7 linked regions of the Macaca mulatta genome follow. The protein of the gene in region 1 interacts with the protein of each later gene in a pairwise test. Links are inferred from orthologs where the notes say so. Each region holds a gene or a part of one and is shown in the gene's direction. Other genes may lie near its edges.

The links.
Region 2: the proteins of CDR2 (region 1) and PKN1 interact in binary tests that used the Homo sapiens proteins (3 or more experiments, as listed by UniProt). The link is inferred for Macaca mulatta from reciprocal best matches to the Homo sapiens genes CDR2 and PKN1.
Region 3: the proteins of CDR2 (region 1) and ZGPAT interact in binary tests that used the Homo sapiens proteins (3 or more experiments, as listed by UniProt). The two-hybrid records come from large-scale screens. The link is inferred for Macaca mulatta from reciprocal best matches to the Homo sapiens genes CDR2 and ZGPAT.
Region 4: the proteins of CDR2 (region 1) and TBC1D22B interact in binary tests that used the Homo sapiens proteins (3 or more experiments, as listed by UniProt). The link is inferred for Macaca mulatta from reciprocal best matches to the Homo sapiens genes CDR2 and TBC1D22B.
Region 5: the proteins of CDR2 (region 1) and C1H1orf216 interact in binary tests that used the Homo sapiens proteins (3 or more experiments, as listed by UniProt). The two-hybrid records come from large-scale screens. The link is inferred for Macaca mulatta from reciprocal best matches to the Homo sapiens genes CDR2 and C1orf216.
Region 6: the proteins of CDR2 (region 1) and KANSL1 interact in binary tests that used the Homo sapiens proteins (3 or more experiments, as listed by UniProt). The two-hybrid records come from large-scale screens. The link is inferred for Macaca mulatta from reciprocal best matches to the Homo sapiens genes CDR2 and KANSL1.
Region 7: the proteins of CDR2 (region 1) and SH2D4A interact in binary tests that used the Homo sapiens proteins (3 or more experiments, as listed by UniProt). The two-hybrid records come from large-scale screens. The link is inferred for Macaca mulatta from reciprocal best matches to the Homo sapiens genes CDR2 and SH2D4A.

What each region holds. Positions count from the first base shown.
Region 1 is NC_133425.1:21,841,723-21,846,160, reverse strand, and holds the start of CDR2 (cerebellar degeneration-related protein 2), read left to right. Parts: upstream 1-1,598; 5' UTR 1,599-1,673; coding exon 1,674-1,752; intron 1,753-4,438.
Region 2 is NC_133424.1:15,052,732-15,056,428, forward strand, and holds part of PKN1 (serine/threonine-protein kinase N1), read left to right. Parts: exon of another isoform or gene 1-312; coding exon 313-464; coding exon of another isoform or gene 465-514; exon of another isoform or gene 515-2,199; intron 2,200-3,697. UniProt on the Homo sapiens protein: PKC-related serine/threonine-protein kinase involved in various processes such as regulation of the intermediate filaments of the actin cytoskeleton, cell migration, tumor cell invasion and transcription regulation.
Region 3 is NC_133415.1:116,567,347-116,571,634, forward strand, and holds the start of ZGPAT (zinc finger CCCH-type with G patch domain-containing protein), read left to right. Parts: upstream 1-1,467; 5' UTR 1,468-1,547; intron 1,548-1,976; 5' UTR 1,977-2,004; coding exon 2,005-2,585; intron 2,586-4,288. Other genes in the region: ARFRP1 (ADP-ribosylation factor-related protein 1), read right to left, coding at 131-218, 473-571, 1,228-1,281. UniProt on the Homo sapiens protein: Transcription repressor that specifically binds the 5'-GGAG[GA]A[GA]A-3' consensus sequence. Represses transcription by recruiting the chromatin multiprotein complex NuRD to target promoters.
Region 4 is NC_133409.1:144,908,218-144,911,060, reverse strand, and holds the end of TBC1D22B (TBC1 domain family member 22B), read left to right. Parts: intron 1-420; coding exon 421-549; 3' UTR 550-2,320; downstream 2,321-2,843. UniProt on the Homo sapiens protein: May act as a GTPase-activating protein for Rab family protein(s).
Region 5 is NC_133406.1:205,102,587-205,106,993, forward strand, and holds the start of C1H1orf216 (UPF0500 protein C1orf216 homolog), read left to right. Parts: upstream 1-1,514; 5' UTR 1,515-1,692; intron 1,693-3,682; exon of another isoform or gene 3,683-3,857; intron 3,858-4,031; 5' UTR 4,032-4,036; coding exon 4,037-4,407.
Region 6 is NC_133421.1:70,935,511-70,939,207, reverse strand, and holds part of KANSL1 (KAT8 regulatory NSL complex subunit 1), read left to right. Parts: intron 1-3,425; coding exon 3,426-3,550; intron 3,551-3,697. UniProt on the Homo sapiens protein: Non-catalytic component of the NSL histone acetyltransferase complex, a multiprotein complex that mediates histone H4 acetylation at 'Lys-5'- and 'Lys-8' (H4K5ac and H4K8ac) at transcription start sites and promotes transcription initiation.
Region 7 is NC_133413.1:20,954,347-20,958,564, forward strand, and holds the start of SH2D4A (SH2 domain-containing protein 4A), read left to right. Parts: upstream 1-1,229; 5' UTR 1,230-1,871; coding exon of another isoform or gene 1,872-1,917; intron 1,918-1,992; exon of another isoform or gene 1,993-2,173; intron 2,174-3,266; exon of another isoform or gene 3,267-3,368; intron 3,369-4,218. UniProt on the Homo sapiens protein: Inhibits estrogen-induced cell proliferation by competing with PLCG for binding to ESR1, blocking the effect of estrogen on PLCG and repressing estrogen-induced proliferation. May play a role in T-cell development and function.

The sequences.
Region 1 (4,438 bases):
TTTTTAGTAGAGATGGGGGGTTCTCCAAGTTGGTCAGGCTGGTCTCGAACTCCCGACCTCAGGTGATCCGCCCGCCTCGGTCTTCCAAAATGCTAAATTACAGGCGTGAGCCACCGCGTCCGGCCTCGGAAAACTCTTAACTGCTTCCCATTTTTAGTTCTGGCAGCTCTCTCCATATTTGTGGAAACGATTTATTGGATTATCAATGTAAGGTATTATCTGTCGACTCACTGCTAAAATAGATCAGGATTTAACTAACACTCCTCTCCACCTCTTCCCTCTTTCCGAATTTCTAACAGTTTATTACCTTATGTTCTAGAGATAATCTTTCAATTATATACTTAAACCTCGATTTTTTTGTTTCGTTGCTCAAAGTTTGCTAGATATTGGCCCTGCTGTCTTCCATCAGCTGCAATTTTACCTTTACGTCAAGGTTGAGAACATTGACCTTCAGGTCTGTCATCCTGCTTAAGAGTTTCCGTGCTTTGTCTGTAAGATGGTGCTAAAAGCTTTACTCATGAGCAGTATTTGCTGGGTTATGTCGGTGGAGGACAGCGTGCTCTGCCTTGCTGGCTACTAAGTGCTGGGGCTGCAGCCTGACCCCTCCAGGTGCAATGCCACGTCCCCAGATGCTTAACTTGTGGTCTAGAGGTACCTTTTAAAAATCGTTGCAACCCTGCTTACAATTTTCCCCCTCCAAGTGGACAGCTTCGGGCATCCCTCACTGCCCCAGATTCTCAACGGGGTCTGGCGCCCACCGTTTTAGGGAGCGTAATTCCCAGAGCTCAGATGTCAACGAGACAAGAGCTACCGCTCAGTGGGCGTTTTCTCAGCCCTAAACTCCCGATCGACTCCGAGTCTCCTTGCCGGACCCGGAGCAAATCTCAGAGTCAACATGCGAGAAGCGGCAGCCGGGCGGCGGACCTCCGGCTTCCGGCACCCTCGCGCTTCCCGCCGGCACGAAGGACGCCTCTCGACAACCGCCCGCCTCTCAGAGGCCGAAGTCCTAGGCCCTCCGGCCTGCGCTGCCTGTCCACGGACGCGCTGGCCTCGGGACACCCACCAAAGCGGCAGGACTCGCCTCCGCCAGCTCCACAGCCCGGAACCTAGTACGCGCTCCTAGGAGCCGCACAGCGCAGATCAGGGGGCGGGCTTTCGGCCGCACCCCTTCACTGTTTCCCCGCCTTCTTTGTTTATTCGGGGCCCGTCATTGGCTGCTTGGCCTCGAAACCGGGCGAGCCGCGGGTCTTTGGAGAGACGCTATTGGACGAAGTCCCTGTCGCTCGGCCAGCGGCCCGCTCGCGATTGGTTGAGAAGCCGCCGGGGGTTTGAATCGCATCCCCGGCCGGGGAGGGTTCTGCCAAAGTGCCACGTTGGGCCCGGCGGCGGCGTGAAGACCGGCGGCAGCGTGAGAACCTGGCTCCCTACGTTCGCGCCGTAACGCCCGGCCGTTGGGGCCGTTGGGAGGCGCTAGGCGAGTCGAAGCAGCCGGCCGGTCGGCGGCGGTCGCCGGCGGGAACGGGGCTGAGGCGGCGCGGCGGAGCCTGGGCGGCGGCGCGTCCCGCCCGAGGGCGGCTCTGGCTGAGGGCGGAGGGGCCGGGGAAGAGCCCGGGGCAGCGGCTGAGGCGGGACGGCGGCGGCGGGGACCGTTGCCCCTAGAGGACCCAGCCGAGATGCTGGCGGAAAACCTGGTGGAGGAGTTTGAAATGAAGGAGGACGAGCCGTGGTACGACCACCAGGACCTCCAGCAAGGTGAGGGCGGGGGCGCCCCGCGGGCGGGCGGGCGGCGGCGGCGGCGGCCTGGCCCGGGAGGCCCCCGCTGCGAAACTGTTAAAAAGTTGCTTTTTCTGGCGGCTGAGGATGCAGGTGCCGGGAAGGGCTCGGGCTCACCTGGCGGCGGGGCCGGCCGTGCCCGTGGATCCCGCCCGCAGGAAGCCTCGGCGCGGGGCCCACGGCCCTGCTAATGCGCAGTTGAATATCAGACCCGAGGCGCATGGGGGCCAGGGACGCGCCAGGCACCGTTTTAAGCGCTTTCCGTGGATTAGCTAGTTTAATCCTCACTGCATTCCTCCGAGGCAGACCGGGTGAGCCAGTGTGTCCCGTAGTAAGTGGCAGAGCCCGAGAAGCCGCCCCCTCGCAGGCTGTGTAGCCCAGCGCCTTTCTTGGCCAGCACGGAGGGCCGGCTGCTGCAGGTGGTAGTGGTTTTGCGATGTAGCGGGAGCTGTGCGCTCTGCGCCGTAACTCTAGGAGACAGTAACTTTTAAAAAATTGATTAATTTTGAGGGTACATAGTAGGTGTATCTATTTATGGGGTACGTGAGATGTTTGGATACAGGCACGCAGTGTGAAATAAGCACGTGATGGAGAACGGGGCGTCCATCCCTTCCAGCATTTATCCATTGAGGTACAAACAATCCAATTACACTGAGAGTAACTTTTGTTATCCCATTTTCCAGATGAGGAAAGCGGAGGTTGAAACGGTTGAGTGGCTTGCCTAAAGCTAAGTGGGGGAGGGAGTGGTTTTTTGAACCCACACACTCAAAAGGAGGAGTTGTAGTCACTCCTCAAACCCCCATCCCTTCCTTACCATCCTAGTTAACAGTTTTTTTTCAGTTGGGAATTAAGCTGTTACGCATAGTTCACCAGATGCCAGTTGAAATGACAGAAGAGCGCTTCTACCTCTGCCACTTTTCTTCAGTTTGCATGCCAGCTTTCACTTAGAAATAGGCCTGCCGATGGTGTCTCCAGAGAACAATCATAGAGCAGCCAACACTTTGGGGCCAGTGGGGCCCCACTTTTTTTTATACTAATAGCAGGAGCTAGCAATTGGGGAACACTTTTGATGTGCCTAACACTGATAGGCCCATAACAGAGTTGCTCATTTATCTCCCAGTAACACAATAGAGGTGATAATGTTGGGGAGTGCTAGGGTTCCCCTTAAGACTCGAGAGCAAACATTCTTAACCGCTATACTGAACACTGTGAATAATCCTCAGGAATTTTTCCCGGCATCTTTGGTTTCTGCAATTCTATGTAAATGTTTTCAGCTCTAATCTTGCAGTGAAAATTAACATCTCATTTAGTTAAATATTGAATGATGCTGATGCTTGTTCATGCTAACCACTGAACATGGCAGATGCTTGTTCATGCTAACCACTGAACATGGCAGATGCTTGTTCATGCTAACCACTGAACATGGCAGAAGGAAACTGTGTAGACTTGAGTAACTCAGAAAAGGAAAATAAAACGAGCACCTCTTTTGGAGGAAGATAATTTCTTAAATTAACATGCAATCACTTTAACCAAAGTAATTCACCTTTATTACGCTTATAGAGTCCAAGCTGCTTAGTGGTTGCAGTGCAGTGTTTGGTGGCATCATCTTTATGTCCAAAGGACACATTTCTCATACGTTTTAACAAACCTGTTTTCAGATTTCCCCATAGGGATTGATGGCCTAGTTTGATAGTTTCTCCAGGATTTGTGAGGCAACCACTGTGCCATTGCAGTATTTCCCTATAATTTAATTTGTATCATCACAACTAAATATTTTTCTTTCCTGTATTTAAGAAGCATAGGCCGGGTGCGGTGGCTCACGCCTGTAATCCCAACACTTTGGGAGGCCGCGGCGGGTGGATCACAAGATCAGGAGTTTGAGCCCAGCCTGACCAACAAGGTGAAACCCCGTCTCTACTAAAAATACAAAAATTAGCCAGGCGTGCCTATAATTAGCATGTGCCTGTAATCCCAGCTACTCAGGAGACTGAGGCAGGAGAATTGCTTGAATATAGAAGGCCGAGGTTGCAGTGAGCCAAGATGGCGCCGCGGCACTCCAGCCTGGGCGACACGAGACTCTGTCTTAAAAAAAAAAAAAAATTTAAGAAGCATAAATCCTTAAGGGTATAGAGGGGGCAGGTTCTTTTTTCTGGTATTCCCAGCATCTAGCATAATACTTGGCACATACTGGAAGCTCGATTTTAGTATTTGTTGAACTGCACTGAAGCACTATCACAGAAGTGTTTTCATGGCTCTCTTCCATCAGGTGCCTTAGTCCACGCTGCGTTCTCCCACTGTTGGAGGTTGTTTGGAACCACCAGCTGTAACACTTCAGTCTATCAAGCAGCAAGTGCAGCGTGTCAGGGTTACAGGTGGAATTCTCTTTAACCTCTGATCAAAATAAAGTCATCAACTCTTCAAGTTTAACGTTAAAAACACAGGTCTGGCCAGGCGCGGTGGCTCACGCCTGTAATCCCAGCACTTTGAGAGGCCGAGGCAGGTGGATCACGAGGTCAGGAGAACGAGACCATCCTGGCTAACACGGTGAAACCCTGTCTCTACTAAAAATACAAAAAATAAAAAATTAGCCGGGCATGGTGGTGGGCGCCTGTAGTCCCAGCTGCTTGGGAGGCTAAGGCAGGAGAATGGCGTGAACCCGGGAGGT
Region 2 (3,697 bases), on another chromosome or scaffold:
ACACAAGCCACGTACGTAGTTACTAACGGGCCTCCCAGATGCAGTGGACCCAGCACCAAGGACACACTAAGACACCTGGGTGCTCGCCTGCACTCTTTCATCCTGAGTCCTGCCCCAGCCCCGAGGAGTTTCCCCGGGTGGGTGGGTGGGTAGACTGCTGGGCCCTGGTGTCCCTCTGCCTGCCTGCCTGCTGGCCCCCAGCTCCCCCTCCCCGTGCCTCAGGGGCAATGCCCAGGCTGGGCTGAGGATGAAGCCTCCCAGGCAGACCGAGGTGACCATGCGTGATGACTCTCTCCCACCTGTGACCTGTAGATGGCCCCCAGTCCCCCGGTGCGGGCGGCCCCACTTGCTCGGCCACCAACCTGAGCCGTGTGGCGGGCCTGGAGAAGCAGTTGGCCATTGAGCTGAAGGTGAAGCAGGGGGCGGAGAACATGATCCAGACCTATAGCAATGGCAGCACCAAGGTGAGGCAGCACACGCACACACGCCGTGTGCACACACCACACCTGCGCACGTACAGTCCACCCACACGTGCACACCCACCCGCATGTGTACACATCTGTCCCCGTGTGCACATGCCCACTCGAGTGTGCACCCACGCCTGTACGTGCACACACTGGCATGTACCCCCACATCTGTACATGCACACACCTACCTGCATGCATGCACTCACCCACATGTACACACACGTATACACCCACACGTGCACACACCTGCATGTGTACACACCCTTGAACGTGCACACACAGCTGCACGTGCATGCACACTTGCACACATCCACATGTGCATATACCAGCATGTGTACATACACCCCCATGTGCACACACACCTGCGTATGCACACACACCTGCCTGTGCACCCACATCTGCATACGCATTTGCAGTGCACACGCACATGTACACACCCACATGTACACACCCACTCGTGTATCTGCACACACACTGCACATGTATACAGCTGTATACATGCACAGGTGTGAGCAGATCACAGGCTGGGGGCATAAGGTGTAGCCTACAGCTGTCCCCATGGGAGGCTGGGAGCCTTTGGATTGGGGACACACTGGCTGATGGGTGTAACCTGGTGTCAGGACTAAGGCACAGGCAGCTCATGCGGGCATATGGGAAGCGTGACTATGGGCGATGTCAGACAGACATGTGGCAGATTGTCTCCCCTCCTCCCATGGTCTCCTGCAGAGCCTCAGGCCCATCCACAGTCAGGGCAACATGCAGCCTCTCACTGCTGATGGTCTTCTGTTACAAGCACACACAATCATGTCAATACCTTGACACACACACACACCATCATAACATCTAGACACACACACACACATGCTGTCATAACATCTAGAGACACATACACACATGCTGTCATAACATCTAGAGACACACACACATGCTGTCATAACATCTAGACACACACACACACATGCTGTCATAACATCTAGAGACACATACACACATGCTGTCATAACATCTAGACACACACACACACACCATCATAACATCTAGACACACACACACCATCATAACATCTAGACACACACACACGCTGTCATAACATCTAGACACACACACACACATGCTGTCATAACATCTAGACACACACACATGCTGTCATAACATCTAGAGACACACACACACACACACCATCCTAACATCTAGACACACACACATGCTGTCATAACATCTAGAGACACACACACACATGCTGTCATAACATCTAGACACACACACACATGCTGTCATAACATCTAGAGACACACAGCGGTAACAACATCTAACAACACAGGGAGAATCCCACCACAGCCACATCTGGACACATACACACACTTACATTCATACCCAGAGACTGGTGCACACGGACGCACAGACACACACACATCCCCCATCCTGCCAGTCAGTCCCAGGAACACACAGGTCTCCACAACACCCAGAAATTCTGACACCACAAGCACAGGCCGACCTACAGCTAGAGGATTAACGTCCAGACCCACAGGCTGGTGTGCGCCTGTCCTTCCACGTGAATGTCACATGGGAGGACAGACTGCATGGATTTTTTTTAATGACACTATTTTATTTATTTTTTTGAGACAGAGTCTCACTCTGTCACCCAGGATGGAGTGCAGTGGCGTGCTCTCGGCTCACTACAACCTCCGCCTCCTGGGTTCAAGTGATTCTCATGCCTCAGCATCCCAAGTACCTGGGATTACAGGCATGTGCCACCACACCCCACTAATTTTTGTATTTTTAGTAGAGATGGGGTTTTACTATATTGGCCAGGCGAGTCTCGAACTCCTGACCTCAGGTGATCTGCCCACCTCGGCCTCCCAAAGTGCTGGGATTACAGATGTGAGCCACCTTGCCTGGCCTAACATTATTTAATTTATTTAATTTATTTTTTATTTTTATTGAGATAGGGGTCTGTGTTGCCCAGGCTGGACTCGAACTCCTGGGCTCAAGCATTCCTCCTGCCTTGGCCTCCCAAAGTGCTGGGATTACGGACCTGAGCCACTGCGCCCCATTTATCAATTGATGGACATTTGGTTGTTTCCACGTTTTTAGCGATTGTGAATAGTTTTGCTATGAACACCCGTGTACAAGCATTTGAATACCATTCCATGAAAATTTAAAACCTAGAACAACTGTGTATCTTTTTACATGTATCTGAGCATTATACACAAAAAGAATAAGACTTTCTCACCCCCTAAGAATTTCTGCCCCCTCGGGGGTGATACTGACCCGATGAAAATGAATAGAGTAGGCCAGGTGCGGGTCCCAGCACTTTGGGAGGCTGAGGTGGGCGGATCACTTGAAGTCAGCGTGGCCAACATGGCGAAACCCCAACTCTACTAAAAAAATACAAAACTTAGCCAGGCGTGGTGGCACATGCCTGTAATCCCAGCTACTCGGGAGGCTGAGGCAGGAGAATTGCTTGAACTTGGGAGGCAGAGGTTGCAGTGAGCTGAGATCACGCCACTACACTCCAGCCTGGGTGACAGAACGAGACTTTGTGTCAAAAAAAAAAAAAAAAAAAAAAAAGCTGGGTGTGGTGGCGGGCGCCTGTAATCCCAGCTACTCAGGAGGCTGAGGCAAAAGAATCGTCTGAACCCAGCAGGTGGAGGCTGCAGTGAGCCGAGATTGTGCCACTGCACTCCAACCTGGGCAACAGAGCGAGACCCTGTCTCAACCAATCAATCAATCAATAAAACAAATTGCAGCCGAGAGAGGTTGAATGGCTTGCTGGAAGCCACACAGATGTTAAGTGACAGAGCCAGGATTCAAACCCCATTTACTACATCATCCCACTGTATCCAGGAATGCATGGAAGTGCATTCATTTACTTATTTATTTATTTTGAGACAGGGTCTCACTCTGTTTCCCAGGCTGGAGGGCAGTGATGCAATCTCAGCTCAGTGATGCCTTTAGCTCCTGGGTTTGAGTGATCTTCCTGCCTCAGCCCCCTGAGTAGCTGGGACCACAGGTGCACACCACCACACCCAGCTAATTTTTGCATTTTTTTTTTTGTGGAGACAAGGTCTTGCCATGTTGCCCAGGCTGGTCTTTAACTCCTGGGCTCAGCAGTCCACCCACCTTAGCCTCCCAAAGTGCTGGGATTACAGGCGTGAGCCACCATGCCTGGCCTGCAAATGCGTGTTGTTACATCCACATGTGAACACTGCCACAGTCACCTGGGACCT
Region 3 (4,288 bases), on another chromosome or scaffold:
AGGGGACTGACAGGGCTGTGGCCAAGGGCCAGCTGGACTGTGAACGTCACGGCATCCTCAAGGCCCCAAACCCACAGCCTGCTATTTAGACCCCTTACTGTTTAGACCCCTTACTGTTTAGACCTCTTACTGTTTAGACCCACGGTGGTGGTGATTTTGGATAGACTCATTCCCTTGTAGTTCTTGTTAAACCGGGTTTTTGACTGTTCCAGGAAGGTCTGAGGAGAGAGGGAGAGGCAGACACATCAAGTAGGGGCTACACTGGCTTCCCAAATATCCTTCCTCAGGCCTGTTCCTTAAGAGAGAAAAACAGAAACAAAGCAACACTCTGCTCTTCAGGAAGCTGACAATCCTGTCGTCTCAGGTGAAATGTGGATTCCATCTGGGTAGTGAACATGCAGCTGACAGCACAAAACCGAAGCGGGGGCCACCCGGCCGTGGGAAAGGTGCGGGCAAGGGAGTGGGCACTCACCGTCTTCCCAGCATTGTCCAGGCCCAGGATCAGGATGCAGTACTCGTCCTTCTGAAACATGTACTTGTACAAGCCCGACAGCAGCGTGTACATCCTGCCCTGGGCGCCCCAACATGTGTCAGTGTGCAGCCGGAACGCAGCTCCCCGCCCCCGGGCTTCTCCACGGTGGTCAGGGGCGCCCCACGTCCAGCTGGCCGCTCAGGACGAGAGCCTGGGGGCCATTCCCGACTCTCCCTCCTCCACCGCACCCCTGCAACTCCTCCCAGGCCGGCCGCCACTCCGTCCTTCCGCTCACAGCAATGACTGCGACCTTTCCGAACCCGCAGCGGCTCCGGTCCCTCCCCTGCTCGCGGGACCACCCAGCCGGGTGTTCGCGGTGAGCTCCGCTGCGCTCCCGCCCTCCCCCGAGGTTTCGCTCCCACGCTTCACGCGCGCGGAACGGGGAACACACTCGCGGCAGCCCCGCCTGGGCCCCCGCGCCCCACCCGGGAGCAGCGAGCCGCCGGCGCGCTCCCCAGGAGCTCCCCAGGGACGCCCCATCAACCCATTTCTTAAAACGGGGACGGCCAGCGGGAAGCGGACTACAGGGCGGGTGCGCAGCGGCCCGGCTGCTCCCGGAGGCAGCGCGCGGCGGGCAGGGAACGACTCCCGCGGAGAAAGAACCCGCGTCGGGGACCCCGGCTACGGCCGCCCCATGCCGCGGCCGCCAGGTTGGAGGCTCGCCGACAAGCAGCCAAAGCTGGTTCCTGTCACACCTGCGTCCCACCTCCAGCTCTGGGCCGCCCCTCGGGCCTCGCGCCCCACCGCATAGCCTGCGGCCTACCTGCGACCGCCGCGACCTCGGAGCCGCCGCTGCTGACCCCCGCTGACCTCCGCTGACCCCGCGCTAACCCCGCGCGGCGCCTGACGGGACGAGAGCCGGCCTCAGGGAATGAGCTGAAACGCGTCCCGGCGGCCTCCGCGCTCCGCTTCCCGGCTGCCCCCGCGCGCCAGGCACTTCCGGAAGTGGCGGCGCTCGGGAGGAAGTGCTGGTCGGCGGCGGGGACGAAAGGGGGGTGCCGGGCCGCTCTAGCCGGTGAGGCCGGCGGGCTCTCTATGGCGGCAGCTGGGAAACCGCGCGGGGGAGGTTCCCTGCCCGGGGAGAGGGGACCCCGGTTTGCGGGGACGCGGCCTTGGCCAGACTGCAGAGACGCCGGGCGCGGGGGCGGGGCCGGCCTGGAAGGCAGCGGGCGCGGCGGGTGGGCTCGGCGGAGGGCCGGGCGGCGGGGCGCCCCGCGGGGAGGGGGTCTCCGGAGTGACGCGGGACCCGGCTAGCGGCGAGCCCAGGGCGGCTCGGAAGGGAAGCGCGGAGCCTGAGCGGGGGTACCCGGTCTGCGACCTCTGCGCTGGGAGCTGTGCCTCTGAGCCGGTGTCTCCCCGAGGGACAGGGGACGTGCCCGTGCCCTCCCGCAGTCTGTGGGGCCGGTCCCGAGACGCGGGGCTCACCTGGCTTCTCTTCTCGCAGCCCTGGTCCAGCGCCTCCCTCTCTCAGCATGGACGAGGAGAGCCTGGAGTCGGCCTTGCAGACCTACCGTGCGCAGCTGCAGCAGGTGGAGCTGGCCCTGGGCGCCGGCCTGGATTCGTCTGAGCAGGCGGACCTGCGCCAGCTGCAGGGGGACCTGAAGGAGCTCATCGAGCTCACCGAGGCCAGCCTGGTGTCTGTCAGGAAGAGCAAGTTGCTGGCCGCGCTGGACGAAGAGCGCACGGGCCGGGAAGATGCTGAGTACCAGGCTTTCCGGGAGGCCATCACTGAGGCGGTGGAGGCGCCAGCAGCAGCCCCTGAGTCCGGATCAGAGACCGTTCCTAAAGCAGAGGCGGGGCCCGAATCTGCAGCAGGTGGGCAGGAGGAGGAAGAGGGAGAGGACGAGGAAGAGCTGAGTGGGACAAAGGTGAGCGCACCCTACTACAGCTCATGGGGCACTCTGGAGTATCACAACGCCATGGTGGTGGGAGCGGAAGAGGCTGAGGATGGTTCGGCGGGTGTCCGTGTGCTCTACCTGTACCCCACTCACAAGTCTCTGAAGCCGTGCCCGTTCTTCCTGGAGGGAAAGTGCCGCTTCAAGGAGAACTGCAGGTAAAACCCTTTGTTATCAGGATGCCAACCTTGGGGCGTAAGGGGCACGCACACAGGGTCGGGTCAGGGTGGCCCTCCCTTTGCTTTGCAGTTTTGTCTCAGCTTCTTGGGGCAGGCATGCTTTGTGACAGCAGTGTCTGTGTTCAGGCGTCTGCGTCTTTGTTCCGGGGTAAATCAAGAAGCATAGAAGGTGGCCGGGTGCGGTGGCCCACGCCTGTAATCCCAGCACTTTGGGAAGTCAAGGCGGGCAGATCACCTGAGGTCAGGAGTTCAGGACCACGCTGGTCAACATGGTGAAACCCTATCTCTGTTAAAAACACAAAATTCAACTGGTCGTGGTGGCGCGCACCTGTGGTCCTAGCTACTCAGGAGGCTGAGGCAGGAGAATTGGTTGAACCCAGGAGGCCAAGGTTGCAGTGAGCGGAAATGGAGCCACTGTACTCCAGCCTGAGCAACAGTGCAAGGCTTATGTGGAAGAGAATAGGTCTCCAACCTATCGTCATTGTTTTTTTTTTTGGTTGTTGTTTTAATTTTTTTTGAGACAGGGTCTTACTTTGTCAACCAGGCTGGAGTGCAGTGGCGCAGTCCTGGCTTACTGCAGCCTGGACCTCCTGGGCTCAACTGATCTCCTGCCTTAGCGCCCCTAGTAATTGGGGTACAGACTCACACTACCACATCCAGCTAATTTTTGTATTATTATTACTTGTTTATTTATTTATTTTTTGAGATGGAGTCTTGCTCTGTCGCCCAGGCTGGAGTGCAGTGGCGCAATCTCGGCTCACTGCAAGCTCTGCCTCCCGGGTTCAAACAATTCTCCTGCCTCAGCCTCCCTAGTAGCTGGGATTACAGGCACCTGCCACCATACCTGGCTAATTTTTTTGTACTTTTTAGTAGAGACGGGGTTTCACCGTGTTAGCCTGGATGGTCTCAATCTCCTGACCTTGTGATCCGCCCACCTCAGCCTCCCAAAGTGCTGGGATTACAGGCGTGAGACACAGTGCCTGCTTTTTTTTTTTTTTTTTTTTGGAGATAGAGTTTCACTCTTGTTGCCCAGGCTGGAGTGCAGTGGCATAGTCTCAGCTTACTGCAACCTCCTTCTCCTGGGTTGAAGTAATTCTCTGCCTCAGTGTCCAGAGTAGCTGGAATTACAGGTGCCCACCACCACGCCCGGCTAATTTTTTGTATTTTTAGTAGAGACAGAGATTCACCATCTTGGCCAGGCTGATCTTGAACTCCTGACCTCGTGATCTACCCGCCTCAGTCTCCCAAAATGCTGGGATTACAGACGTGAGCCATCACGCCTGGCTAATTTTTGTAGTTTTAGTAGAGGTAGGATTTTGTCATGTTGTCCAGGCTGGTTTCACGCTCCTGAGCTCAAGTGATCCACCTGCCCTGGCCTCCCAAAGTGCTGAGATCACAGGCATGAGCCACTGCGCCCGGCCCTGTTGTTAGTTTTATTCTCTAGAGTTCAACTTGAAAACTTTACTTTTTTTTTTTTTTTTTTTTTTTGAGACAGAGTCTCGCTCTGTCACCCAGGCTGGAGTGCAATGGCTTGATCTCAGCTCACTGCAAGCTCCGCCTCCCGGGTTCACGCCATTCTCCTGCCTCAGCCTCCCGAGTAGCTGGGACTACAGGCGCCCGCCACCTCGCCCAGCTAATTTTTTTTATATTTTTAGTAGAGACGGGGTTTCACTGTGTTAGCC
Region 4 (2,843 bases), on another chromosome or scaffold:
CGGGCGCCTGTAGTCCCAGCTACTCGGGAGGCTGAGGCAGGAGAATGGCGTGAACGCGGGAGGCGGAGCTTGCAGTGAGCTGAGATCCGGCCACTGCACTCCAGCCTGGGTGACAGCGCGAGACTCCGTCTCAAAAAAAAAAAAAAAAAAATCTTTATTGTTGTCATTCCCTATTTATGTTTTTATGTTTTTAAAGAGGCAGATGTTAGCGGACTAGAGAATCAGCAGAGGCTTGCAAGGCTTCCTGAGGTGAACTAGGACTGAAAGCTGTGTGCTGTTGGGAGGAAGGAGGCTGGACTCTTTGGGATGTGTGAGCCAGGAGGAAGGGGCCCCATTCTAGGCCTTGGTCTCTAAGAATGGGGTTGCTGGTCCGCTGGTCTATAGTCTGGTATGATAAAAAAGCCCTTTCTTGCATTCCAGGGTCTCCTCATGCTGCTGCAGAACCTACCTACAATACACTGGGGCAACGAAGAGATTGGGCTGCTTCTCGCCGAGGCATACAGACTCAAGTACATGTTTGCCGATGCCCCGAATCACTACCGCCGATAGGTGCTGTCTCCTCCGGGGACCCAGACTGCCCTCATCTCTGATGGCAGTCTGATCACTGTGGCCACTGTGCGAGCCGTGGACCCCGGCCAGGAACCACTCCTGTTGTACAAAGCTCACACCCGCCGCCCAGGTCTTAACTTTCTGGCGTCCACCACTCCATGTCTCTGGATGTGTCACTTGGACCACTGTCAGTATTCCATGCCACGTGGATGGGCCCAGTTCTGGGAGAGGACAGAAAAGGTGGTACAGGGTTGTCTGCCCCTTTAAAAGAAACTGGACAAAGAAGGGGAAGGCTCAGGGTCTCAACTCACATTGTCCCTACAGGGACAGGCCCCAACTGAAAACTGTTGCTTTTTTTTGTGAACATAGTTTGATTTGATCACAGGTCAAAAACGCCTTATATTTTCAAAAGACTCCCGGCTCCTCTTCCCTCTCCCTGGTTTCCTAGCCCTTCCCCGTCTGCCCTAGTCTGAGCCAGTGAGGGGTAGCTTTTTAAAACCATTATTCTAGATGGAGGAGACACTGATGCTTGTAACTCTGGGAAGAGGCCTACACCCAAGAGCTAGGAATTTTATTTTTCCTTTTCTCACCAGGTGTCTGCATGTGTGTGTGGGTGTGAATGTGTATACACACCCATCAGCATTTAGTCACATGTCTGAATTTCTGTGTCCAGATGAGCCCCATCAGACTAGTTGGGAAGGGCCCCAGTGACCAAGTGTATAAGCATCCCTTGAAGAGGGATCAGGGCAGGGGAGGCAGAAGGGGCTGTTTACCTCTCCAAACTCCTTTTCCATGATGACCCACTCCAAGATATTATGTGTAAATTGTGTTATTATGTATATGGGTAAAGATGTACAAATATATGTCCTCTTTGTAAGCAGATATGATTTTATATTTATAATGTGCATCAACATGTGGAAGCAATCTAGGTCACTAGCACAGAGGAAGTTGCCAGGAAGGTGGCTTCAGCGCCTCCAGGTTGGTCCTGGGTGTCCTGCTGTGAGGGGTAGAACGGGAGGCTGCTGGAGTGAGTGGCTGAGCGGGTGGAGCCATCCCAAGCATCAGTGTCTCAGAGTCCTCCTTGCCCCTTTCTTCACCCTGCCCTCCAACCCCCAGACTTTCCTGGAGCATCTTCGCTTTGCTCCTAGCAGCCTCCCCAAGAAGGGACTGCAGAGGCGGGCAAGCCCTCTCTATGTGTTTTTATTCCCACCTTCCCCGGAATCTGGGGAGGGCTTTTGTTTTCACATTTTCAAGTTCAGCGTTGTATTCAGGACAGAAGCTGTGACTGAAGACTGTGCCAAGGAAAGGGGCTTCCTGTGTGTCCCTCGGGTTTGGGGCTCTTCTCAGAGAGCAGCACTCCTTGTCCCTTACTGTCACCTTCACTCCCCACACAGCTCATGAGATGTGTGACCCCTTGTTTGAGTTTTGGTATTTGGTAGTGGAGGGTGGGGGGATGGGGGCCAGCAGCTGTCATCCTCCTGGGAAGCCGAGCAGCATCCCTGGTGGGTAACACCCTTGAGTCTCTTTGCCAGTGAGGCCCACCACACCAGTGTGAGTTAGGTTTCTCATCTGGAGCTGTTTCTCAGGCATTCTTCCCGACCCTCTTCCTTTTCCCCTTCGGTGTGCCTCAGTGGTCCCCTCAACCGGACTAATTAAAGAAAGACACTTGTGTTCCCAAGTGGTGGTTTTATTTTTTTAGTTTTTATGTTTGTATGGGAAATTGTGGATAAAGTGAAAAGAATTGTAAATAAATGGTGTATTTCCTCCTCCATCTGCTGGTTTTTCTCCTGTGTGTTCATGGAACCTAAAGAGTCTCCTCTTCCTGAGTTTTTCTTGCTGATACTAGTACGTGTGCGGTCAGGCCTTCTGTGAGGTGAGCAGGGGATCAGCAGAGGATCAAAAAGCATTCTTAGAGGACAGCCAGCAAACACTTACCCAGCATCCATCTGTGAAAGGTACTGTGGAAACTACACAAATGAGTAACTTGGTAAATGAAACTACTAAAAGGAGTTAACTTGCCAACCACTTTGATAAGCACTTTACATGGATTATTTGATTCATCCGAAAGGAGTATGTTATCTGATGGATGGTAGAAAACAGACTAGAATTTCTGTGCTGGATGAAAACCTGGAGATATCTAGTTTAACCCCCTCATTCACAGAGGAAAATCCAAGCCAAGGCCAAGGAAGACAGCATCAGAGTCATCAGAGTAAGAACCAGAGGACCGGTGTCCTGGCTTGCCTGTTCAGTGCGTTTCCACCAAAGCAGAAAGAACTAAGACGGCCGCCATGTAA
Region 5 (4,407 bases), on another chromosome or scaffold:
AAGGCCAGGGGAACCTGAAGTGGATAAGGGAAGGGAGAGAACTTAGGCCACAGGATCTGATGTAGAAATGAGGCTGACATCTCCACCTGTATTTTCTTAGCTGGAGGAGTGTGCAAAGTTTGAATTACTTCTGCCTTCTTCTTATTTCCTTTTCCCTCTTAAAATAGTCATCATAATCATAAAAATTTATTTTCCATTTTCCCTGTTTTTGCATATAGGATTTCTTGGTGTGATTTCAATTTGCCAATTAGTATCTAGGTTGCAGAATGGTGACTTGGAATCAAGTTGAAACTGGAAGAGGGTACCTTATATATTAGGGTCAGCAATTACTAAACTCTGTTCTCTTTTATTCCAAACAGTGTCCCCAACTTCACATTTCCCCAGGGTGCAAAAGAGGGGGATCAAGCTTCAGTAGAGTGGAGCTCTGAGAAGAATTCACTAGAGTTTGGAAGCCAGGACCCTTTTTATAACCTTGTTCCTCCTCACCTGGGCAAAAGCACTAGTGCCCACTGCACAGGTGTCATGGACGGGCTCTGTGTCCTGTGGAGAGCCCCCATCCCAGGTACAGGACATCAGCCCTGGGACCTGTCCCAGGCTGGATCTTCTTCTTTCTCTCTCTCTCTCTTTTTTTTTTTTTTTTTGAGACAGAGTCCCACTCTGTTGCCCAGGCTGGAGTGTAGTGGTACAGTCTTGGCTCACTGCAACCTCCACCTCCCAGGTTCAAGCGATTCTCCTGCCTCAGCCTCCCGAGTACCTGGGATTACAGGCGCCCGCCACCACGCCCAGCTAATTTTCCTATTTTAGTAGAGACAGTGTTTCACCATGTTGGCCAGGCTGGTCTCGAACTCCTGACCTCAGGTGATCCGCCGGCCTCGGCCTTCCAAAGTGCTGGGATTACAGGCGTGAGCCACCGCGCCCGGTCTCAGTGACTTTAGTCAAGTAGCACAAAAAGAAATATATAATTCCAAATTGTGATAAATGCTATGAAGAAAAGGAACGTGCCCTGACATACAAGGGGGAACGAATGCGATCTAGGGAGTCAGAGATTTCTCCGAGAAGAGAGCTGAAATAGGAGTAAATCGAGAGGGGGAAGAGACTGCTAGACCGAGGGAACCGTGCGTGCCAAAGCCGCGTGGCGGAAAGGGGCGTGCGGGAGGGTAGCTGCGGAGAGGGAGGGTAGAGGACAAAGCCGGAGAGGCAGACGGAGGGCCGGACGCGCAGAGCCCCGCGGCTGCTGCCTTAGGGGTTGTCCCGGCTGTGGGGAAGTCCTAGAGGAGTTTAAAGCCGGAAGGTGGTGACTAATCAGATTTCACTTGAAAATGGCACGGTGTCTGCAGTGAGGTGAACTGATGGGAAGGGCCCAGCGAACGCCAATAGGAGAGAGCACCGGACCTGAAAGGCCTGGTTCAACGCGGCCCCGCGCGGGGGCGAGGCGGTTCCGGCGCAGAGCCTAGCGCGCGGCTCCGCGGAAAACCGAACCGGCCCACGTGGGCCCGGCCGCTCCGCCCCGCCGCGCAGACGCCGCCTGACTCCGCAGTCCGGACCTGGGGCTGGGCGCGCTGCCCGGGAGCCCCGCACCCACCCTTGGACCGCGGAGACGCCCAGGCCGAGGAACCCCCAGCCCAGGGACTAGACACCACCAGGGCCGGGCGGAGCCATAGCCAGACGCGCCGGATCGGGCGCCTCTAGGCCGTGAGTCGGAGGCGGGGGGCTTGGGGCCCAGCCGCGGGAAGCGGGGAGTCACAGCGGCCTCCGAGGAGACTAGGGAAGGATGGTCTCTGCCTCCTGGGGTGTTCTCCCACTCCCGCAAGGCCAGGAAAGGAGGCTGCCTCCTATTTGGGCGGAGACCTAGTCCTGGGGTGGCGGGGTTCCTATTTTACTATTTCTGAGAACCCTGTGATCCCTAGCGCCACCCCTACCCCATCCCAGCTTCCTTCATGGCCCCATCCAAGTATAGGAAAAATTAAAAATTGGGGCGAGGGGAGATCTGTAGGCACCTTCCCACAAGCCTTGCTTAGAGGGCGATTACAAAGGAACTGTTCCTACACCCTTCTCCCCAGGACTTCTGCCCGTTGCTGGGGGTGGGGAGGGTCCATGCCACCTATGGAGCGCCTCCCAGTGCCGGCTCCACTTACAATATCCTTCCTCTTCATGCTCTTAAATTGTTCTAATCCCAGTGCTGTTTGGTCAGTAGAATTCCTTTGTCAATTCAAATCCTAATTTTGGTTAGAAGCAGGTTATGGAGGAGAGAAGAGTGGTGTGGTATGCCCGCCCTCCAGGGCCTCAGGATGGAGCAAGCTAGGGACAGGGACACAAGATAGTGGCCGTGTTCCAGAGGCATTGGGAGGGAAGTGGGCAGGCTCAGAAGAAAAGCTTGTCACTGGGGAAGGCTGGGCTCCCTGGCTGGGGTAGGAGAGGGAACTGAACCCAGCTCTTCCAGCCCGGGGGAGTCGGGAGTAGCTTCCTGAGCATGGAAATTCACTGCAGTCTCTTCTCCCATTCACTCGCTTAGCAAGTACCAGTATGCACAGATAGCCTGGTTCCGGGCTCTATGCTGGCTGACTCTGGGGAATATGATGGAGGATATATAGGGGAGGTCCAAGCTAGATTACAAACTGCTATTACAAGATCATTGCCACAAACCAAAACTGCCAGTTAAATAGACATTCACTGATCGTCGACCATGTATGCCAGGGACAGACACAAAGTTGGATAAGACAGTGTGTACCCAGGGCAGTGGGGACCCAGAGGAAGGCATAACTAACCGTGCTTGTTTATGTAATATTGATTGCGGCAGTATCAAGACAGCTTCAGAGACATGGGTACATGGAGATATGGGGATATTACAGCTGATTTTGAAGTACAAAAAGGAATTTGCTGGGTGGAGAAGGGAGGAGCTTTGAGGGGAGGGGAGAGGAAGGATATTATAGGCCAAAGGAATACTGTAAGAAGGACAATGGTGTGTTTTGAGATCTCTGGGCAGTTTGCTATGATGGGAGGGACAGAGTGGCAAAAGGCAGGTGTGGAAGGGTGAGCAGAGGCTAGATCAAACAGGGCCTTGTAGGCCACATAGAGGTTTAGCAGGAGTTCAGGGAGGGCATTCTGAGTGGTGACAAGTGAAATTTACATTTGTAACTGGGGGCAGAGAGACCAGTGAAAAGGCCGAGGCAATAATCCAGGTCAGAAATGGCCTGGAAGAGGAAGAATGGTCAGAATGTGGTTATCAATGAGATGGGAGAAGGAAGGAGAGTGAGGAGCCCAGGATGCTCCTAGCCTTCTGGATGGAGGGTGGAGCCATCTTGCTGAGGATACTGAAGGAGAGCTTGTTTGGTTATATAGAATTTTGGTGGTGGGGGCGGGGGGCGGGGGGTGGAGAGGGATGAAGTCTCACTCTGTCACCCAGGCTGGAGTGTGGTGGCACAATCTCAGTTCACTACAACCTCTGCCTCCTGGGTTCAAGCGCTTCCCAAATAGCTGGGATTACAGGTGCCTGTCACCACGCCTGGCTAATTTTTGTATTTTTAGTAGAGATGGGGTTTCACCATGTTGGCCAGTCTAGTCTCGAACTTCTGACCTCAGGTGATCTGCCTGCCTCGGCCTCCCAAAGTGCTGTGATTACAGGCATGAGCCACCGCACCCAGACTGGTTATGTAGAATTTGAGGAGCCTATGATTGGTTGCAGGGTTGGATAGCAGTTAGATCTGGGCTGAAGACAGATCTGAGAGTCATCAGCATATGATGGACCTTGAAGCTACAGCAGAGAATGAGGTCCTCTGGAGAGAAATGTGCAAAATCAGAAGACAGCCTGGCTCTGAGGACTGAGGAAAAACCCTCTGCAGGAGACTGAGAATGAACAGGTAGACAGGGAGGACGAAAACCGTGAGGGGAAGTGTCACCAGAGTCAAGAGAAAGGGCTTGACAGGGAGTGGTCGGGCTCTTGCTTTCAGCCTTGTCCCTGCAGCTAAGTTGCCCTGACTTCAGGCACCCCACCCTGTCCTACTGTGACTCAGTCTCCTGCTTTCCCTTTACAGACCAGATGTTCGCCATCCAGCCAGGGCTAGCTGAGGGGGGCCAATTCCTGGGGGACCCACCTCCTGGAGTATGTCAGCCCGAGCTCCAACCAGACAACAACTCCAACTTCATGGCAAGTGCCAAGGATGCTAATGAGAATTGGCATGGGATGCCAGGCAGAGTGGAACCTATCCTGAGGAGGAGCTCCTCTGAGTCGCCCTCTGACAACCAGGACTTCCAGGCCCCTGGATCCCCTGAGGAAGGGGTGCGCAGCCCCCCAGAGGGGGCAGAGATTCCCGGGGCTGAGCCTGAGAAGATGGGTGGTCCTGGCACAGTCTGCTCCCCTCTGGAGGACAATGGCTATGCCAGCAGTTCCTTGAGTATCAACAGCCCTAG
Region 6 (3,697 bases), on another chromosome or scaffold:
GAACATATATACCTGTAGCTGCTCTGTACCTACTCAAAAGGTCCTTTTTGTATAATAATTATAATGTAATGGTAAATGTAAAACTCTATAACTGTAATGTTTATTGAACACTTAGTACATGCCAGTGATCAGTGATTTACATGTGTTACATGTTACAGTGCCTTTTGAGATGTAGGTTAGTACTGTGGATTTCATTTTGTATGAGTGAAAACTGTGAAGGCAGCTTGTGAGGGTTATAATTATGATTCAAACTCAGGCAGCCTGACTGTAGAGCCAGCTCTTTTAACATTACACTACACAGGCTAAACCTGGGTGAGGGTATTGCAGAGGCAACTTAGGAAGTTCCTTCACAGCCTAGATCAGGAAACTTCCAAGCTCATAAAATGGACTCACTAGGCTCCTGTGATCAGGTAGGAATTCACACTGTTCTCTCTTTGCTGTTAAAAATCAATCTTTTCCAAATGGTCTCTTTGCTCTTCCCCTTTCTTTATCCCCCTCACCCACAAATTTTATCTAAATAGGTGTGTAGTGTCCCTCACATACTCAGTTATCCAGCAGCAAAGAGTTTCAGTATTTATAAAAGAGAGTCTAATTCTGATAGAAAATCTGAAGTCAGAGATTCAGGACTTAGTGAGCACTTCAATATTTCTGTGTCTGGAGAATGTTAAATTAGGCCTGGATCACTTGAAATTTTTACTATTTATTGAGTAAAAATTTTGTGTATAGCCCTATGCTAACCCTTGACGCTCTCAAAGACACTAGATTTCTGTAAATAATCCCAGCACTTGGGGAGGCGGCTGAGGCGGGTGGATCACTTGAGGTCAGGAGTTCAAGACCATCCTGGCCAATAAGGTGAAACCCCATCCCTACTAAAAATACAAAAATTAACTGGGCATGGTGGCATGTGCCTGTAGTTCCAGCTACTGTAGAGGCTGAGGCAGGAGAATCACTTGAACCGGGAAGTGGAGGTTCCAGTGAGCGGAGATCAAGCCATTGCACTCAAGCCTGGGTGTCGCAGTGAGACTCTGTCTCAAAAAAAGAAAATTGGTTCTGGACCTCCCGTAGATAGCAAAATCTATAGTTGCTCACGTCCCTAATATAAAATGGCACAGTATTTGCATATAATGTATGCATATGCTTTAAATCCCATATACTTAAAATCGTCTCCAGATTACTGATAATACCTAATGCAGTGTAAATGTTATATAAATAGTATGCTGTATTGTTTAAGGAATAATGACAAGAAAAATCTGTACCTGTTCAGTACAGACACAATTTTTCCCCCCCAAATATTTTCAATCCACAATTGGTTGAACCCATGGATACAGAGGGCCAGCTGTCCTTGAAATCAGGGAAAGAAGCCAGAGGCCACTGGAGAAAGGTAGGGAGGAGGGGGAGTGTTTGAGTGCTTCCCAAAAGCCAGTAGCTGCATCAGAATCACCTCAGCAGCTTTAAAAAACAAAACAAACCAACCAAACACTTCTAAAGATCTGATTTGTTGCTGGGTGTGATCTTGCATGCTTATAGCTCCAGCTACTCAGGAAGATCTCTTCGGCCCAGGAGATTGAGTCCAGCCTGGGCAATACAGTGAGACCTCATCTCTTAAACAAACAAACAAAAAGATTCTGATTTTATAAAAGAGCAGGGGGAGTCCTAGAACCTTTTTTTTTTTTTTTTTTTTTTTTTTTTTATAAATACTCCTTAATCTTGCTTCTGATATACAACCAAGTTTGGGAATCAGTTTTATTCTCATCACCTGCTCTCTATCTCTGGCTCTAAATAGGAGATACTAGTTAATTTACACCAAATGAGTAGCTGACAGAATTGGGGGTGTGTCTAGGCGGAGGATGACATACAGAGCCAATTGAACCATCCCACAACCTGCTCCACTATCTTTTTCTGGAAGGTTCTAACAACAAGCCCAGGAAGTTTCAGGGAAAGTATATACCTGTTTCTGCCAGCAGTTTCACATTTATTCACATTTATACTGGGAAGGCTCTCTCTCTTGAGGCTTTCTTAAGATGCATTTCTTGTAGTGGGATGTATAATTGCAGCAGAGATCTGGCAGTGGCAGAGGTCTCTGGGTATGAGATCATTAATCCTCAGCTACAGAACTCAGGCAAGATTCCCAAAAGTCTGTTTAACCATTTTGGTTAACCAGATATCCTAAATTTCTGAGGTCACTGACAGTCATCTAATTTGATAGAGAAAGAAATTGAAGTGAAAAGGGCATTGTGGTCATCTGAAATTATAAATGACAGTGACTGAAACTCTGGCCCAGGAAGTGCTGACTTTCAACATTCTCTGAGAATGTCCTAAGATGATAGGATAAATAAATTGCATCTCACCCTCCAGGAACAGAGGATAGAGTGGTTAGTTGTAGGGGACTTCTTCCACCACCAACCCCTTCCCGGTGGGCTGACCACACTTAGTGGTTTAGGTGTAAATGCAGCCTCTTAGGTGTTTTCCAGCTGTTTTGTTGCCATGACAGCGTGTTTGTTATGCCACTGTTTGACTCTGGCCTCTCACAGCTCAGTTGCTTGTTTGTTTCAGGATAGGGTATTAACTATCTGGGCAGCAGCAGATAGTAGACTTTTTCTTCCATCCAAGAGACTTAAGCCATTTAGTTCCCTGGTCTCCCAGCTACTGTAGATGCCTACCTCTGCCTCTGATATTCGATCCTTGGAAGTCTTATTTTTCTTAAGAGTTTGGTCTTCTCAACTTCCTATAGAAGCAAATTTCCTTTCACCAGGAATGTGAAGTATAGTCAGGTTCTCCTCTTCAGTTTCCCTCCATTCATCTCCTTTGATACAGCTAGAAAGCTCTCAGATGTTTCCCCAAGAATCACCAAAAGAGGGGAAATCACATAAAGACTGAGCAGATGGTGGGTGCAGATTTAGCAGAAGAGTTCAGATCTTCGAGAAGGAGGTGCATTCATGACAACCAAGGTTAGATGATCTATTGAGATTGGCCTACCCTTTGGGCATCTTTCAGGATAAGCTTTCAAGCATTGCTTTTTGGGGAGGGGCCACTATGAGTGTCAAGTCATAAATGGGGATAAAGGAGGGCAATGAGGATTGTAAAAGGAGAGGTGGTTAATAGAGGTGTATATGGAGTAGAAACCCCAACAGTTAAGATCCCAGGTACCCACCCCTATGAAATTTACACATGAGCCCTTGAAGGAAGAGGGTGACCAGTGGGACTTATGAATAGGAATAACTCCTCACAACCACCTAGTATTTCTCCGCAAGGTTTTTGCTGTTGAAGACTGACTCCTAGGTGGGAGCAGCTCCTATGGTCACTGCTCAGCTTCAACCCAAGGACCCAGATGCCTGGTTATTGGTGATCCTGCTTTAAGTCTTAGATGAATGATTTGATGTCTGTAAAATTGTACCTCCCTTTTAAACTTAATTTTTATCTTACAGCAGCAGCCAGTTAGGAGGAGAAGGGGAGAGAGCTCATTTGATATTAACAACATTGTCATCCCAATGTCTGTTGCTGCAACAACTCGCGTAGAGAAACTGCAATACAAGGAAATCCTTACTCCCAGGTAGAAGCTCAGAATAGTTGGTCCCTCTCCCCATTCTTCCTGCTATTGCCCTTTTTCCCTGTTCTCTTCTGACCTAGACTTGGGCCCTTGTCTTTGGTTCTGTCTTCTCATTAAGAGAAATTCTTATCTGATAAGAACAAAATTATT
Region 7 (4,218 bases), on another chromosome or scaffold:
ATGAGACAAGAAGGATGGAAAGGGGCAGAGAGAAAAGGGAAGAGTCTGGGTTCTGAGCTGATTGTGCTATTTGTGTACAGTGTGTGTTCCTTTGGGCTGTTAACATTCTTTCAAGATAGAAGCTCCAAGATGTTTCCTTACCTAATCTCCTAAGTGGCATACCATCATCACTTCTGCCGGGTTCTATTGGTCAAGCAAACCAACCTTTACAAAGTGGCGGGGAGCTATGCAAGGGTATGAATAACAGGAAGACGGGATCCCTGGGAATGACTTGGAATGTAAGTGGCATGGTGGGCAGAACCATAGCCTAGGGTGAGATAGCAGGAACCTGGAATTATAGTACCTTAATGTGATATGAACTGATCTGAGCAAATGTGTTTGAACACTCACCACATGCCAAGAGCTGTTCTAATCCCTTTGCATGCGGTATCTCATTTAACCCTCTTAACAACTTACGGAGGCAGACACTCTATCCAGAGAAGAAATTGAGGTACAGAGGTTAGTAGCACAGTGACAGAGCTATTATAAGGAAGGACTTGTCAGGACCTGGAGAGAGACTGGGTATGAGAAAGGTAAGTGGCTGTCACAGTGTCCTATGGGATTTTTCCAGATAAACCACCCTGTATAGTTAACCGATCCATCCATGCAGGGCTAGGATTCATTTCGACCTCGCCATAGTAGCTTTCCAGGGGCCAATCCCACTCCAGCCTAAAGCACCCCATAGGCTATCATTTAAACTGCAGTAGGAACTAAGCCTTAGACCAGAAATTTCTCCCTGATGGGATCCCTGGAATGGTTCCTAAATAGCTGGGTCTTGTTTCCTGACAATGCCGCCTGCCCCGAGGCTTGATGTGACTGCATAGCTTCTGCCGTTTGTAAAGGCGGGGAATGACGTTTTATGTTTGAACCCAGCAGGTCAGGCTCCTGAAGAGGTCAGGTAGTCTGTGGAGAGGACTACTGGTGTTTGCTATTTATTACATCTCTCCCAACACATAAAATCTGGGGTTCACCAAAGCAGGCGGTTTTCTTCCACATACTCCTCTAGGATGGAAAATGCCCTCCAGTGGAAATGCCTTTCCACTCTGCTTCTGCTGAATTTTCCTCCAAGATTTCCTCTAACTGTGGACTGCCAGCTCCTCCCTGATGTCTTCAGGCCCCAACCCAACCTGTTCTTGTTGCAATCCACAAGACTCCTTTCAGCATCTTAACTTTTTCCCCAGTTTTCTTTCATTTTCTCCTGGTCTGTGTTGACTGCGGTCTCCTTCTCAGCCTTTTCCGTCCTTCATCTTGTCCTACAAAGCCACACCTGTACCGACAAGTGCCAAAGAGTTTGATCATTTACTTAATGTCAACAAAAGAAAGAAAAAAAAAGCTCTAGAGTCGCCTTGGCCTGCGGCACCCAAGCCGAGTGAACAAGTGGGGCCCGCGCACCCTCCTACCCTCCACCTCGCATGGAACCCCGAGCTCTGAAACATGGAAAGGCCCAGACCTGCTGATTTAATCTAAGTCCTGCAGTCCCCAAGAGATCATAGACTGCAGATCCCAGTCCCACGAACTAAGAGAGGAGAGGAGCAAGGCTACCCCGGACTACCGCAGCTCGGGGACAGCGCGCAGACCAGGCGGCCCGAGATGCGCAGGCCACGCAGCCTGGCCGACGACTGTCCCTGGAGAGCCTCCAGGCGCCCGGGTGGGGCCGCGATCGCGCCCCGCTAGTCACCCGGCATGTGGGCGCGGCGGGGCGGCGCGGGCGGGCCGGCTGCAGGAGCTGTTTGGCGTCCCGGTCAGAGTATTTGCTCAGCCCGCCTGCGCCGCTTGGGACGCTTCTGCCTTTCCCTCCCTCCCTTCCCCGACGGCTTCTGGCGGCCAAGTGGATGTGGCGGGTGATCGGGCCACCCTGCCCAGGGGCGCCCAGCACTGGTAGGTGCTGGGGTTGGGGAGAGGCTTTGGCGAGAGTGTGCATGGGGTGGGAGTAGGGGGAAGGGAATTTCCTCGGGGGTTGCAGGGGTGCATGGGAGGCGCAGGGGCCAGAGGGGGCGGGCGGAAGCCTCACCCCCGCCTCCACCCCTTCGCGCCGCCCGGGGCGGGCTCAGGTGCGGGGTTAGGCGGCTAGAGCGGCTGCGGCGGGTATCCGGTGTCCGGTGTCCGGTGTCCGGTGACTGGAGCCGCTGGCTAGGTGAGCGGCTGTCCCCGGGGTCTGGGGGCTTGCAAGGGGTGGCGGGGGGAACTTCGAGGGAGAGGGTCTGCCGGAGCTGAGGACTTTCGGGGAAGTTCTGGGATCCGGCGGGGACACGCGGCGCGTGCTTCTACCCGCAGGGAGTGCAGGCCCCGGGAGGGTCCGGGCTGGACTGGAGTTTCTAGACTCCTAGCAGGAGCACGTCCTGGACCTGCGCCTGGAGATCTTCCAAGAGGGAAGTCCCGGGAAACAGTGGCAGCCGGCGCAGCACCCCGGCAGCGCGTTCCCCGCGCGCCGGCACCCAGGGGCGCCCCCAAGTGGGGTCAGGGCGCGCGCGGAGGCCCGTGCAGCGCCGCCTCCCAGGGGCTGCTGCGGCGGGGCTGGCCCAGACCCAGACCGGGTGCCCACTGGGCTCAACCAAGCGGCGCCCCTGCCCGCTCCTGGACTCGGGGGTTACGCGGGCACCGGAAGGAGCTACAGTTTGTAGGTTTTCTGAGTTGTCTTTCCCTTCCCAGGGAGCTTAGAGAAACAGCAAGCGTGGCACCTCCCCCTTCCGAACAGATGCTCCTCATCGCCCAAAAGGCTTTTATTTGATTGCTGGTTTAATGGAAACAACGACTTGGGTACCATTATTTTAAAATAGTGAATAAATAAGTGGAAAGCATACAGGGGCATAGATTTGGCATAGGAGTGGAATTTTCTATGTATACTAAATCTGTGTGTACAGTAACTTCAAATTTCTGAAGAATAGTATATATTTACAAAACTTGCCAAATTGCTGTCATCTCTGGTAATTTGTTTCATCTCCAAAAACAGCTCTTTTGCTGGTAGATGAATAAGATAAAGTTTGAATAAGAAAACAAAGCTCGACCACAGAGCTGGCTGTTTTAAAAGAATTAGAATTCAAGCTGTATTGTTAATGTTATAGTTACACTGTCCATACCACAATACTTTTATTTATTTTTTATTTTATTGGGTAAGTGCAAAAGTAGTTGTGTTTTTTATGGCAAAAACCACATTTATTTATTTATTTAGGCCATAAAAAAACACAATAACTTTTGCACCGACCTAATGTTTTTCATTTTTGAGGCAGGGTCTCCTTCTATCACCCAGGCTGTAGTGCAGTGGTGCGATCTTGGCCCACTGCAGCCTCAAACTCTCCAGCTCAAGTGATCCTCCCACCTCAGCCTCCCAGGTAGGTCGGACTCTAGGTGTGGGCCACCACACCTGGCTAATTTTTATATTTGTGTAGAGATGGAGTTTTGGCATGTTACCCAAGCTGGTCTCGAACTCCTGAGCTCAAGCAATCCACCCACATTCACCTCCCAAAGTGTTGGGATTACATTTTGAACCACTGTGCCTGGCCTACTATTTTTATGATTTAGGCTGTATCTTAGGCCTTTAAAATTTTTTATTTTGTTTAGGTATCAGAGTTATCCAAAAGACAGTTGTATGGTAGAACAGTGTGAAGGTGTGAGAATCAGGTCAAATCTATGGTATCATGGAAAACAACAGATTCTCTGATCCTTTAGCAATTGCTGTTCAGAATAAATTGCAGGTGTGGGCTTGCTTCTTATCATTTCTCTCTTTTAAGAAAGGTGCTGTGTTAGCTGAGCTATTCCTTTGTTGGATCTTGAATAACTGGAGGTTTGCTGCCCTTGATATAGTATGGGAAAGTCCTCAGCATTTGAATCCGTATCAGCAATGATTATTTGTTCTCGTCAGGGAATGAAAGTGGGAAAACCCTGGTTAGTTAATTTCCTCATTTCTATTTCTTCTACCGTGGCTCCACCAGTCTCCTTCACTTCACAGTAGATTATGTCACATACCGACTCATTAGGAGTCACAGACTGAACCAGCCCTCATTTCACAGATGAGGAAACTGAGTCCCGAGGAGGCGAGGTGATAGCCACACTGCTCATTAGAGGCGGAGCTGGGAGTTGAGGCTGGAGTGCCTCTGGGTGTCTCGGGTGCACTATGCTGAGCTTGAGTTGGAGTCTGAGAAAGCCTTGGGGTGGGGGTTAGGGGATGGGAGTTGGGGGTGA